3 linked regions of the Astyanax mexicanus genome follow. The protein of the gene in region 2 interacts with the protein of the main gene of each other region in a biochemical or structural test. Links are inferred from orthologs where the notes say so. Each region holds a gene or a part of one and is shown on either strand. Other genes may lie near its edges. The genes, in order: pex13, pex5 and D-aspartate oxidase-like.

Region 1 (3,757 bases), on a different chromosome or scaffold from region 2:
CACCTGGACACATTTATGTGTGAAGCATTTCATTGTAGAATTTGTTTTATGTTTTGGATCATTGTCTTGTTGGAAGACAAATCTCTGTCCGAGTCTCAGGTCTTTTGCAGACTCCAACAGGTTTTCTTCCAGAATGCTCCTGTATTTGGCTTCATCCATCTTCCCATCAATTTTAACCATCTTCTATGTCCCTGCTAAAGTTGCATTTTGGCCAAAAGGTTCAATTTTGGTTTCATCTGACTGAGCACCTTCTTCCACATGTTTGGTGTCTCCGAGGTGGCTTGTGGCATACTTTAAAATGAGACTTTTTATGGATATCTTAGAGAAATTACTTTCTTCTTGCTACTCTTCCATAAAGGCCAGATTTATGCAGTATACAACTGATTGTTGTCCTACAGACAGAGTCTCCCACCTCAGCTGTAGATCTCTGCAGTTCATCCAGAGTGATCATGGGCCTCTTGGCTGCATCTCTGATCAGTCTTCTCCTTGTTTGAGCTGAAAGTTTAGAGGGATGGCCGGGTCTTGGTGGATTTGCTGTGGTCTGATACTCCTTCCATTTCAATATGATCAGTTGCACAGTGTTCCTTGATATGTTTAAAGCTTGGGAACTCTTTTTGTATTTAAATCCTGCTTTAAACCTGTCCACAACAGTATCTCGGACCTGTCTGGTTTGTTTCTTGGTCTTGGAGTTTGCTGCACTGAAAGTAAAGGGGCCGAATAATATTGCCCCACTTTTCAGTTATTTATGTCAATTTTTTTTTTAAATATCCAGTAAATTTCATTCCACTCCACGATTGTGTCCCACTTGTTGTTGTCAGAAATAAATATTACAATGATATATATTGCAATTTATACTAAAATCTTCAGTTATCAAAACTTGATGCATCATTCCTTGATTCAATAACAGTACAATTATAACAAATTTCCTATATTCAGATGGTAAAAGAAAAACAATACTACCAGTTTTGTAATAGGAAAGGATTTAAATATGGCACACACTTGCATGAAATATTGTTATATAGAGGTGAGAAATAAGCATGCATAATAACAGACTGATAATGTGGAGTAAGAGCAACTAGAAATATGTAGAACATGCCATTTATTCTACTTCAATATTGTATTGTAAGTGCTAAGTTCAGAGAGTTATAATAAAATGGTAGAATAATATTTCTAGTACTTCGGGCTTTTCACAGTATACTAGTTCTATTTTCAGAATTTGATGTCAAATTCAACAGACTATTTGATAATCTGGAGTTAGGGCAACTGGAAATATGCAGAACAGGCTATTTATTCTCCTTTAATCATCTTAAATGCCAAGTTCAGAGGGTCATAATAACAAAATGGTACAGTAATTTTTGTATTTCTATTGAATATTCACAGTATACTAGTTCTATTTTCATACTTTGGTGTCAAATTCAACAGACTATTTGAAAATATGGAGTTAGGGCAACAGGAATCATGCAGAACAGGCCATTTTTTCTCCTTTGATCTTCTCAAATGCTAAGTTAAGAGGGTCATAATAAAAAAGGAACAGTAATATCCGTAGGTCTTTAGACTATTCACAGTATACTAGTTCTATTTTCAAATTCAACAGACTATTTGATAATCTGGATTTAGGGCAACTAGAAATACCCAGAACAGGCAATGTATTCTCAATGTATATGCCCTAAATACCAAACTCGTTTTGCTTGGCTCAATCCTGCTCTCTACTGGCGAATCATTGGTATTTCGACTTTTTAAGGTGGACCGGAAAATCCGAATAAGACATTGGCGAATAAGACGCTACCTATAAGATGTGATTTATATTTGTTATGTATGCTATGTCGGACGGACATTTTGCTATTGCGATAGCAGTTAATGAGATTCAAATATAACAAAAACTTAGGTTAGTTAAGTTAGCTTAAATACTAGTCATAAAGTTTATTCCACCGACAGCTGTAGGTCACCAAACCAGTCAAGACACGTTATAGTTAAAACATGAGTCTGGACACTCTGACACGCAGTTAGGGTCTGTCGATGGACTAGATGTGTATTAAATAATATCAGACGTTTATTATCGGGATTAAAATATGACGTGCTTTGAACTTTCAGTTGCGTAAGAACGCGGTTAGTTTAGCTTAGCTTAGTGTAGCAATCAAGCTAACACACAACAACACAGGGCCTGTCACCTTGCTACAGGGCCAGTTCACACATACGCCTGTTTTTTTTTTCTGTTTTCTGAAAGAAAAGCAGGATTTGGAGAGAACCGTGTTACTGACCGGTAGTTTACTGGGGATGGCATCGCCCCGGGAATTCGTCTCTCCCAGGGTTTTGGAGGCGGCTGAGACATTATTCAGAGGTAACCAACCGACATCCACCCACTGCTGCGCTACTGCTTTCATATGCGTCTGGACTTTACCGTAATTACGGCTGCATAAACTCATATTTCTATTCCGCTAACGCCGTAAATATTCGTGTACTTGTTCCTATAAAAACTTGATTTTACCCCCCTTGAAGGTAACCGCATAAATGAAGGCTTAAGCTTATATATGTAAGACATTTAAGACATTTTATTACTGTAAATATATATTTTATATATTTTTTAATTATTATTTAGAATGCATTAGTTTAAAAATACATTATTTCTATTTTTATTATTATTATTATTATTATTATTATTATTACTACTATTATATTTCTTTATTTTTAACTTGTTCTTCATATGTTTTAAAAATATGTTCTATTTTGTATTTAGCTAGTTATTGATATCGATGCATGTAATATTATTATGCATTGTAAAGATGCTATTTTACTACTACTGCTGCTACTACTATTACTACTATGATACCTATAACAGTTAACTATTTTTTTTTAGCAAATTAGTTTTTTTTTATTATTATCTGTAAATTAGTACTTTATTTTTATTTTTAATCTGGTGTTGCTGCTTCCACTGCTGTCTGTTTGCTGTTGTAATAAGTGAGCTATCCTCTGTGAATACTACTGTGATCTAATTTTCTGACTATCTATATGTCCATGTGTATGGATTGGTTTAACGGACAGGGATAAAGCATAGTACTAGACTATGCAACAGTGTGAAAGGAGTGTCCACATTAAAAGAGATATGTAGTCCACAACTAGGCCTCTACTCTGTCTGGGAAACCAACTATGTCTCTATTATAAAAAGGTGCTAATGGATGGATGGATGGATGGATGGATGGAAAGAAAGAAAGATACTTTATTTATCCCGAAGGAAATTTAGGAATAATAATAACATTAATAATATCTTGCGAGATATTAATAATATCTTCGTTTCATTGTATTATTATTATTATTATTAGTAGTAGTAGTAGTAGTAGTATTATTAGTATTATTATAATTATTAGCAGTAGTAGTTTAAGCAGTGATGGCAGTGTTAGCCTTATTTTAACATACATCACTACAGGACAATAGGAGACAATATTATACCCCTGTTTTCATCACTAGGTGGAACTATTGTGTAACACTCTTTGTTGCTTGACATCTTTTGATTCCATTTTTAATGGGGAAGACTGAAAACTGTTTGACTTATCTGAGTCAAAGAGTCAAAGCTTTATGATATTTTATCTGTGCTTAATAAAGATAACAGCCTTGAGCCAATACAATTCTTTATTGTGTGATTCATCTCCCTGGTTATCTCCATCACTATTTTACACTGTTAATAAGCTCAAAGTATCTCGACACTTCATCTGTAAAATTCTAAGGGCCCTGACTTTGAAAATGAGGCACTGAGAAATTTGAA
Region 2 (3,757 bases):
TACAGCCCTAAAATAATATCAAAAAATTTCAGGGCATCGATACGAATATGACGGCCAGCCAACCCTGCAAATAGTAGCAAAACAACCGAACACCAATAAACTCACAGTGGGCGTTGACCTGTGTCTCCAAGCTCCCCCCTCTTGAGTCATGTGACTTGTTAGCTTCATGAGGGGATTGGCTCCCCCACATTCCGCCTCCACTAGCTCCCGCATCGCCATGGTAACCCAGGGTCAGGATGGCTCCGACAAGCACCCGGGAGGTTCTGGAAAACAGAGTGTTAAAAGTTAAAAAACATTATTACACTATAGTCCAAACTGGAGCTTCTGGATCTACCTGTCTGTTATCAACAAGGCTGATAAATAAAAAAAACTTTATCATCATCATCATCATCTCTAGAATCAGCTTCAACTTCACCCCTACCCTTCCTCTCGTTATCACTGTCTGACCCTCTGGCCTAATCTGTCCAGTGGCATCAACATATGGTGCCTAAGCTGATTAGGACTAAAACGATTAGCCGCTGGGCACGTTATAAAAGTTGTGGGTGCTCAATATGAAGGTCTCCAAGATGTTGCCCCTGAAAGATACCTGTGGTACATTTAATATCCATGGAAAGCGAGGTCATGTGAACATATTAAACTAGCTATAATTTATTCAACATTTTTATAGGCTATGTTTGCACACACACAGAATGAAAAAGCTCTTTATCTGGGCAGTAAGTGTAATTTAGGGCTGGGCAATATTGTAAAAATATATATTTTTTTATATTTTAAGACAATTTAATGTCAAATTAAGCTCTCTGCAATAAAAAGTACATTTTAATATCACAGCTAGGTCAGGACGATATAGCCAAAACTTATGTCATGATATGTTTCTTAATTTCAGTCCATACGATATAACTGAAATATCGATATTACCAGTATAAAAAGCACCTTCTGTGATGTACATCACACAGTGACAGAGCTAGGTAATATGGTAAAGAAAAAAATATCATATTACAATATTTAAATTATTTTTATGATAAACAGTATGTATTGCAATGTTCTGACATGCAGACAAAAGGAATCAGAAGTTTCAGATTTTTAAAAAGTGCTATTCAAATACTGCTTAGTACAGTGATGTGTAATCAGTGATAAGAAAATGTATGAATGTATAAAATATCATCATATTGCCCAGCTCTAATCAGAGCCTGTATCACTAATACTAATTATATTACTGTCTTCAATAAATGACAAATTCATCTATAAACTTGCTTGGATGGATGGATGGATCATTCATCATAATCAGGAATTTTGTGCTTGCACATAGCTTTTGAAAAAATGCAAAACTATTTGCACAAAAAGCATCTGAACAAAAACTAAACCCCAAACATAAACCTAACGTTTACAGAAGTCACAAATCTATCCAATGTACGTTTTTCGTAAAAATCATCATACAGATTTTCCAGAGAGGAATGAATAAAGTGCTCAACATGCCATCCCACATATAGCCATACCATAGCAACCAACACAAATACCATAGCAACAAACTACAAACTACTCAGCCACACTTTATGAACCATCACTGATTAAATCCACGGCAACATATTAGCAACCACTTAAAAACCTTGGTAACCAACAACAATGCCATAGCAACCACCTAGCAACCATCATATCACAGCTTTAAACCACAGCAATAGAGCTGAGCCACAATCACACACGCAGTCTGTGTAGGAACTGCATTCCCACTTTGGAATCTAACAACAATAATAATAATAATAATAAGATATTTTAGTATATTTTTAAAGAAGATGTTAAAAAAAGACACTATTGGGTTCACCACCGATGTAAACATCCTACTAAACATGTATTTGTCTGTTTTAGGTTTGTTATGAGACTTGTTCCGTTCCACCTTAAATGGTGCAGCAGCTCCATCCTTTTGCTGGATCTATCTGCACCATTTAAGGTGGAACGGAACAATTCTCACCAATCACACACAAATAATGCCACACTCAGCTCTGGTAACAATGCGAACAAATACAATACTTTGTTCAAAACTATGCTCTTCTTATTAATATATTTATTATACACCAGCATTTTAATTGCTAGTAACGTAACGGCTATTTAGCTAGCAAGCTAAACTAAGCTAACCTTGGTTAACTTACACATCAGTGAAGGCTAGCTAACCTAATAAACCACAGGAGGCACTTCCAAGACTGAGGGCACGTAGCTATTAGGACAGCAGCGCATTGTTTAGCTCGCTTAGCTGTCTAATAATCATGTTAACCTTTAACAACTGCAAGTTAAATAGCTTTAAATAGCACTGTTTATTCTTATATACGTGTAGCTACAATGCTAAACGAGTTAATCTAGCTAACCTAGCTAATAAACTCACCGCTCAGCCCACAGCTCAGCACCGGCCGCTCCAGCCACTAACGCCGTCGTTATTACAGCAGTCGCTGGGTTAGCTAGCTTAGCAACCTGCCCAAAAATATGACGCACCCAGGGTCACCTATGGGCTACTTACAAAGCAGAGGCGATTAAGAAGCGGCTGGCTCTCAGGCGAGCCGCTGGGCACGTCCTGCGCTGCTCAGCTCGCCGTGTAAATCTTTATTTATTCACCTGAGGCGCCACTAACTGAAGGCTCTGCATGAATCAACAGACACCACAGTGGTATTCACCAACGCGAGTTACGCAGCTCGAGGCTCCCGCTTGCCTACACGCGGCAGGCGCACGGTGCGTAGCTTACGTTAGATTCCTAAAATGACAGCAGAGAACAGACAGCAAAGCAGCAAAGCAAATTTTCGCTTTAAAACTCGAGTTACTGCTTTAAAACTCTTACTTACTGCTTAACCCCTGCACTCCAAACACTTTAAAGCTTCTCAGCTGTTAAATTCGAGCTGTTTATTCTTTAGGAAAGGTGCTTTAAAAAGTAGCTAGTTACAGACGTCATGTGTTCAAGGACGGATTCAAAGTCCACTGTCTCTCTCTCTTTCTCTCACACAGTAACCCCAGCCAAATAATCACAGTGAGGTAAAGTTTAAAGGGGAATCATCAAGTTGGGAAAGTTTCAGCTTTTCAGGATATTATATTGTATAATGTATAATACACAGTGTTGTCAAAATTGTTCACTCGTCTGCCTTTACACACATAAACCTCCTTGTCAGATTTTAAGTCCTGACTCCACTCTAATTCATCCCAAAGGTGTTTTCTATAAGGTTATGGTAAGGACTCTGTGCAGTCCAGTCAAGTTCTTTCTCACCAAACTTGTTTATTTATGTATGTGTACAGCTTATTAGGGCCACTCTTAAAAAAATAAAAACAATTGACTTAATAACATATCTAAAAAATATATATATAACTTAAAAAAGTTACTTTATTTCAGTAATTCAGTTAAAAATGTGGAACTCACAGGGTGATTTATATATATTTTAGCGTTTATTTCTTTTATTGTTGATGATTATGGCTTACAGACAATGAAAACCCAAAAATCAGTGTGTCAGAAAATAAGAATATTATTATTAATATTTTTATTAAGACCAGTTGGTACTTTTGGCAGAGTGGGATGTGTGCCCAAGTCCTGCTGGACAATGAAATCTGCATCTCCATAAAAGTTGTCAGCAGAGGCAACCATTTAGTGCAGTAAGATTTTCCAGGGAAACCCTGCACTGACTTTAGACTTGATATAACACAGTGCATCAACACCAGCAGATGGCATGACTCTCCAAACCATCACTGATACATACATACTAGTAAGTACTCTCACACAGTGATACAGTGA
Region 3 (3,757 bases), on a different chromosome or scaffold from region 2:
TAACTACTTCTGCTGCATCCAGCCTCGTAACTTTACCTGGATATTACAGATATTACCTTATTTACAGTATTTATTTTAAGTATTTACACCTGTGAGCGCTTCTAAAACTAGTCTTCAAAACCCCAGAACTATTTTCAATTTCAACAGAAGGACCAAAACAACACAAGACTGTCCCAACAGTAAAGGTAAGCTGCTGTATAAGTTACTCTTTAAAAAAATGTGCTTAGCGCTGCAGACTTTACTGTTTTATTTAAAGTATATATAGTGACTTGTGGACGGGCCTGAACAAATACCTTGTCTTTGGTGACTATTATATTTGGGAGGTTTTATTCGCACAACGCTCTGCACGTATTTGTCAGCTATGTTAATGAAGGTAGAGCTTCATGGAATGGGTTTCCATGGCCTTAGATCACCAACCACAATGCCGGAGAGATGGGGTACTTTTTGCAATATAGAGCTTAGTGTATGTAATTAACTATCTCTCCCGTAAACAGGCTCCCTCTCTTCTCCACGTAAACACTTAGCTACAGTTTAAAACATGCTAATGTTTGCTTTGGTAACACAATCTAACAGACTTTTTTTTATTTTTATTAATTGTTTTGATATAATATAATTTTCTTTCATATAAATAAGACAGTTTTCGGTGCTTACAATTTATAATTTCTCCTAATAGTAATATAGGTGTCATCCATACATAGCTGTTATTCTAGCTCATATATATGCAGTTTAATGCCACAATATCAGAGCAATTTCCTGTTTGGTTTCTTTTATAAGAGATCGGTAGTTTGCGTGGGCTGCACGTGGAAACTGTTCGACTTGACTTCTTAAATATAATAAAATATTTTTAAAACAGTATGAACGTTTGAGGAGAAATTTGAAAATGGATAATTGTAAAGTAAATGTAAGTTGGATCATACCAAGATGCAAAGATGGAAACCAGATACTCGAGAAAAAAAAACTGATAACCGTTACACTTGACCCCAGTCTCCTCTTTTCAAAACCAAAATATCATCCTACACTGAAGCAGCGTTTTAAAAGCTAAGCTCTAGGATACACCTTCAAGTATTGTCATACATGAGAGCAGCTGAATGCTCACCGTAGAAGAAACCAGCAACCCAGTCTCAGCTACAACAAGCAGAGAATCTCTAATAGCGGTGAGAGTACCCACTTGAGGATCTCTTCTAGGTTTGTTTGACCCCAGTGGCCGGTCAAATGTGACTCCAAAATGAATGGACTCATAAGGAGCAAATGAGCAAAATCTGCTTACAATATTAAATGTTTCGGCACCACATACATAATTTTAAAGCTTTTAAAATCTATTAATAAGCTTTTTAAATGTGCTCTCTGATCTCTTGCAGAAATTCTAGCATCAACTGGCCAACTGCGCACAGTAGCAGTAATGCTAGCACATTTAATGCCTAAAACCTGTTTACTGTAGAATATTTGACAAATATATGTAAGCTTACTTTGCTTGTTTAGCAAAACGTATACGTTTACTTAAAAAAATTTAAATTGTTATCTTGGACACGTGGATAGTTACTACTTTTAATCAGTGTTTTTAGCCGTTTGGCTCCATACACTTCCATTCGTTTTGGTCTCCCTCGTGGGCTCCCTCTAGCGGTTCGCAGTATATATAACGGGAGATACGAAGTTGGTTACACATCTCTATGGCTCTGGGCTTTTCATAAACCTGGTGAACTAAGGCGACACGCAGCCAGAGCCATGGCTCTGCACGCAGCTACTCAAAATCTCGCGATATTTATTGAGACGTCTCTAATCCGAAAAGAAAGGTCCTGAAAGTTAAATATATTTAGGTCAGCACAATGTCAATTTCAGGTCCTGGATAGCGCATATAAAAAAAAAAACTGCAATTAAAATGCAACATTTTAAAAGCAAGCGACCAAACCCGTCCCCCTATTCCTTTATTAAAACTGCAGTTTAACGTCAATTCTGCTAAATACTGGAGTCTCCAAACTGGGCATATGTCTGTGCTGAAAGTGCTGCAGGCAGGCTGTGCTCTCACCCCGTTATTCGTGTGCAGGATAATGGACGGACTGACAGCTGCGATTCCAGAACCCGCTCTCTGCCCAAACAGATCCGACCTAGAGCCGCACACGAGGCTGAAGTTGGTTTGATATTCGCAGCTCCAGATTCGTTTGGCTCGATATTCGCAGCCTCGTATTCCCCGGCTGAAGTTGGTTTGATATTCGCAGCTGCCGCTTCACTGAACCACCGTGAACTAAAGGGAGCGTTCACAAACACCCGCTGTTTATATTAAACACCTCACAGATCAACACTGAAGGAGATAGAATGAAGAAAAGCAGTACATCTCTTTATTAACAATGTAAATATACAATATCGTATTAAATGTAATTTTGTATATTGTAAAATATTTATTTTAATTACTGAATTTATAATTATATATTACAATAAATAATTAAATATATATTTAATAAAATTATATTTTAAAAGCCATTGCGCTCAAAAAATATGAGGCAGATGTTCAAGTGTGATTTTGAAGAACTTTTTCATGTTGGGCCAGAACAAATACACATGATCTGAAGAGTACTAGTCTTCTTCTTTAAGGAAAACCTGGAATTAGCCTGGCCCGAGCTGATTTTATACTTTAAAATTAACTGGCAACGTGGCCTACCGATCCATAATGCACAAAAAATTGAATATAAAGCTGATGTTCTAGTGTGATTTTGAAGGACTTTTTAATCTTGGGCCAGAACAAATACACATAATCTGAAGAGAACTAGTCTTCTACTTTAAGGAAAACCTGGAATTAGCCTGGCCCAAGCTGATTTTATACTTTAAAATGAACTGGCAACATGGTATAACGAGCCATAATGCACAATTTTTTTTATGTAAAGCTGATGTTCTAGTGTGATTTTGAAAGACTTTTTCATCTTGGGCCAGACCAAATACACATGATCTGAAGAGTACTAGTCTTCTTCTTTAAGGAAAACCTGGAATTAGCTTGGCCCGAGCTGATTTTATACTTTAAAATGAACTGGCAACATGGAATAACGATCCATAATGCACAAAAAAATTTAATATAAGGCTGATGTTCTAGTGTGATTTTGAAGGACTTTTTAATCTTGGGCCAGAACAAATACACATGATCTGAAGAGTACTAGTCTTCTACTTTAAGGAAAACCTGGAATTAGCCTGGCCCGAGCTGATTTTATACTTTAAAATGAACTGGCAACATGGTATAACGAGCCATAATGCACAATTTTTTTTATGTAAAGCTGATGTTCTAGTGTGATTTTGAAGGACTTTTTAATCTTGGGCCAGAACAAATACACATGATCTGAAGAGAACTAGTCTGCTACTTTAAGGAAAACCTGGAATTAGCCTGGCCCGAGCTGATTTTATACTTTAAAATGAACTGGCAACATGGAATAACGATCCATAATGCACACAAAAATTTTATATAAAGCTGATGTTCTAGTGTGATTTTGAAGGACTTTTTAATCTTGGGCCAGAACAAATACACATGATCTGAAGAGAACTAGTCTGCTACTTTAAGGAAAACCTGGAATTAGCCTGGCCCGAGCTGATTTTATACTTTAAAATTAACTGGCAACATGGCCTACCGATCCATAATGCACAAAAAAATTTAATATAAAGCTGATGTTCTAGTGTGATTTTGAAGGACTTTTTAATCTTGGGCCAGACCAAATACACATGATCTGAAGATTACTAGTCTTCTACTTTAAGGAAAACCTGGAATTAGCCTGGCCCAAGC

The links.
Region 1: the proteins of pex5 (region 2) and pex13 form a complex in vitro, tested with the Homo sapiens proteins (3 studies listed by BioGRID). The link is inferred for Astyanax mexicanus from reciprocal best matches to the Homo sapiens genes PEX5 and PEX13.
Region 3: the proteins of pex5 (region 2) and D-aspartate oxidase-like form a complex in vitro, tested with the Homo sapiens proteins (2 studies listed by BioGRID, with this or other methods). The link is inferred for Astyanax mexicanus from reciprocal best matches to the Homo sapiens genes PEX5 and DDO.

The regions. Positions count from the first base shown.
Region 1 is NC_064421.1:35,743,090-35,746,846, forward strand, and holds the start of pex13 (peroxisome biogenesis factor 13), read right to left. Parts: upstream 2,405-3,757; 5' UTR 2,330-2,404; coding exon 2,259-2,329; intron 1-2,258. UniProt on the Homo sapiens protein: Component of the PEX13-PEX14 docking complex, a translocon channel that specifically mediates the import of peroxisomal cargo proteins bound to PEX5 receptor.
Region 2 is NC_064413.1:6,432,571-6,436,327, forward strand, and holds the start of pex5 (peroxisomal biogenesis factor 5), read right to left. Parts: upstream 2,947-3,757; 5' UTR 2,823-2,946; intron 2,664-2,822; exon of another isoform or gene 2,372-2,663; intron 264-2,371; 5' UTR 220-263; coding exon 106-219; intron 1-105.
Region 3 is NC_064421.1:17,749,719-17,753,475, reverse strand, and holds the start of D-aspartate oxidase-like, read right to left. Parts: upstream 2,213-3,757; 5' UTR 2,024-2,212; intron 1,173-2,023; exon of another isoform or gene 1,097-1,172; intron 939-1,096; exon of another isoform or gene 918-938; intron 1-917. UniProt on the Homo sapiens protein: Selectively catalyzes the oxidative deamination of acidic amino acids. Suppresses the level of D-aspartate in the brain, an amino acid that can act as an agonist for glutamate receptors. Protects the organism from the toxicity of D-amino acids.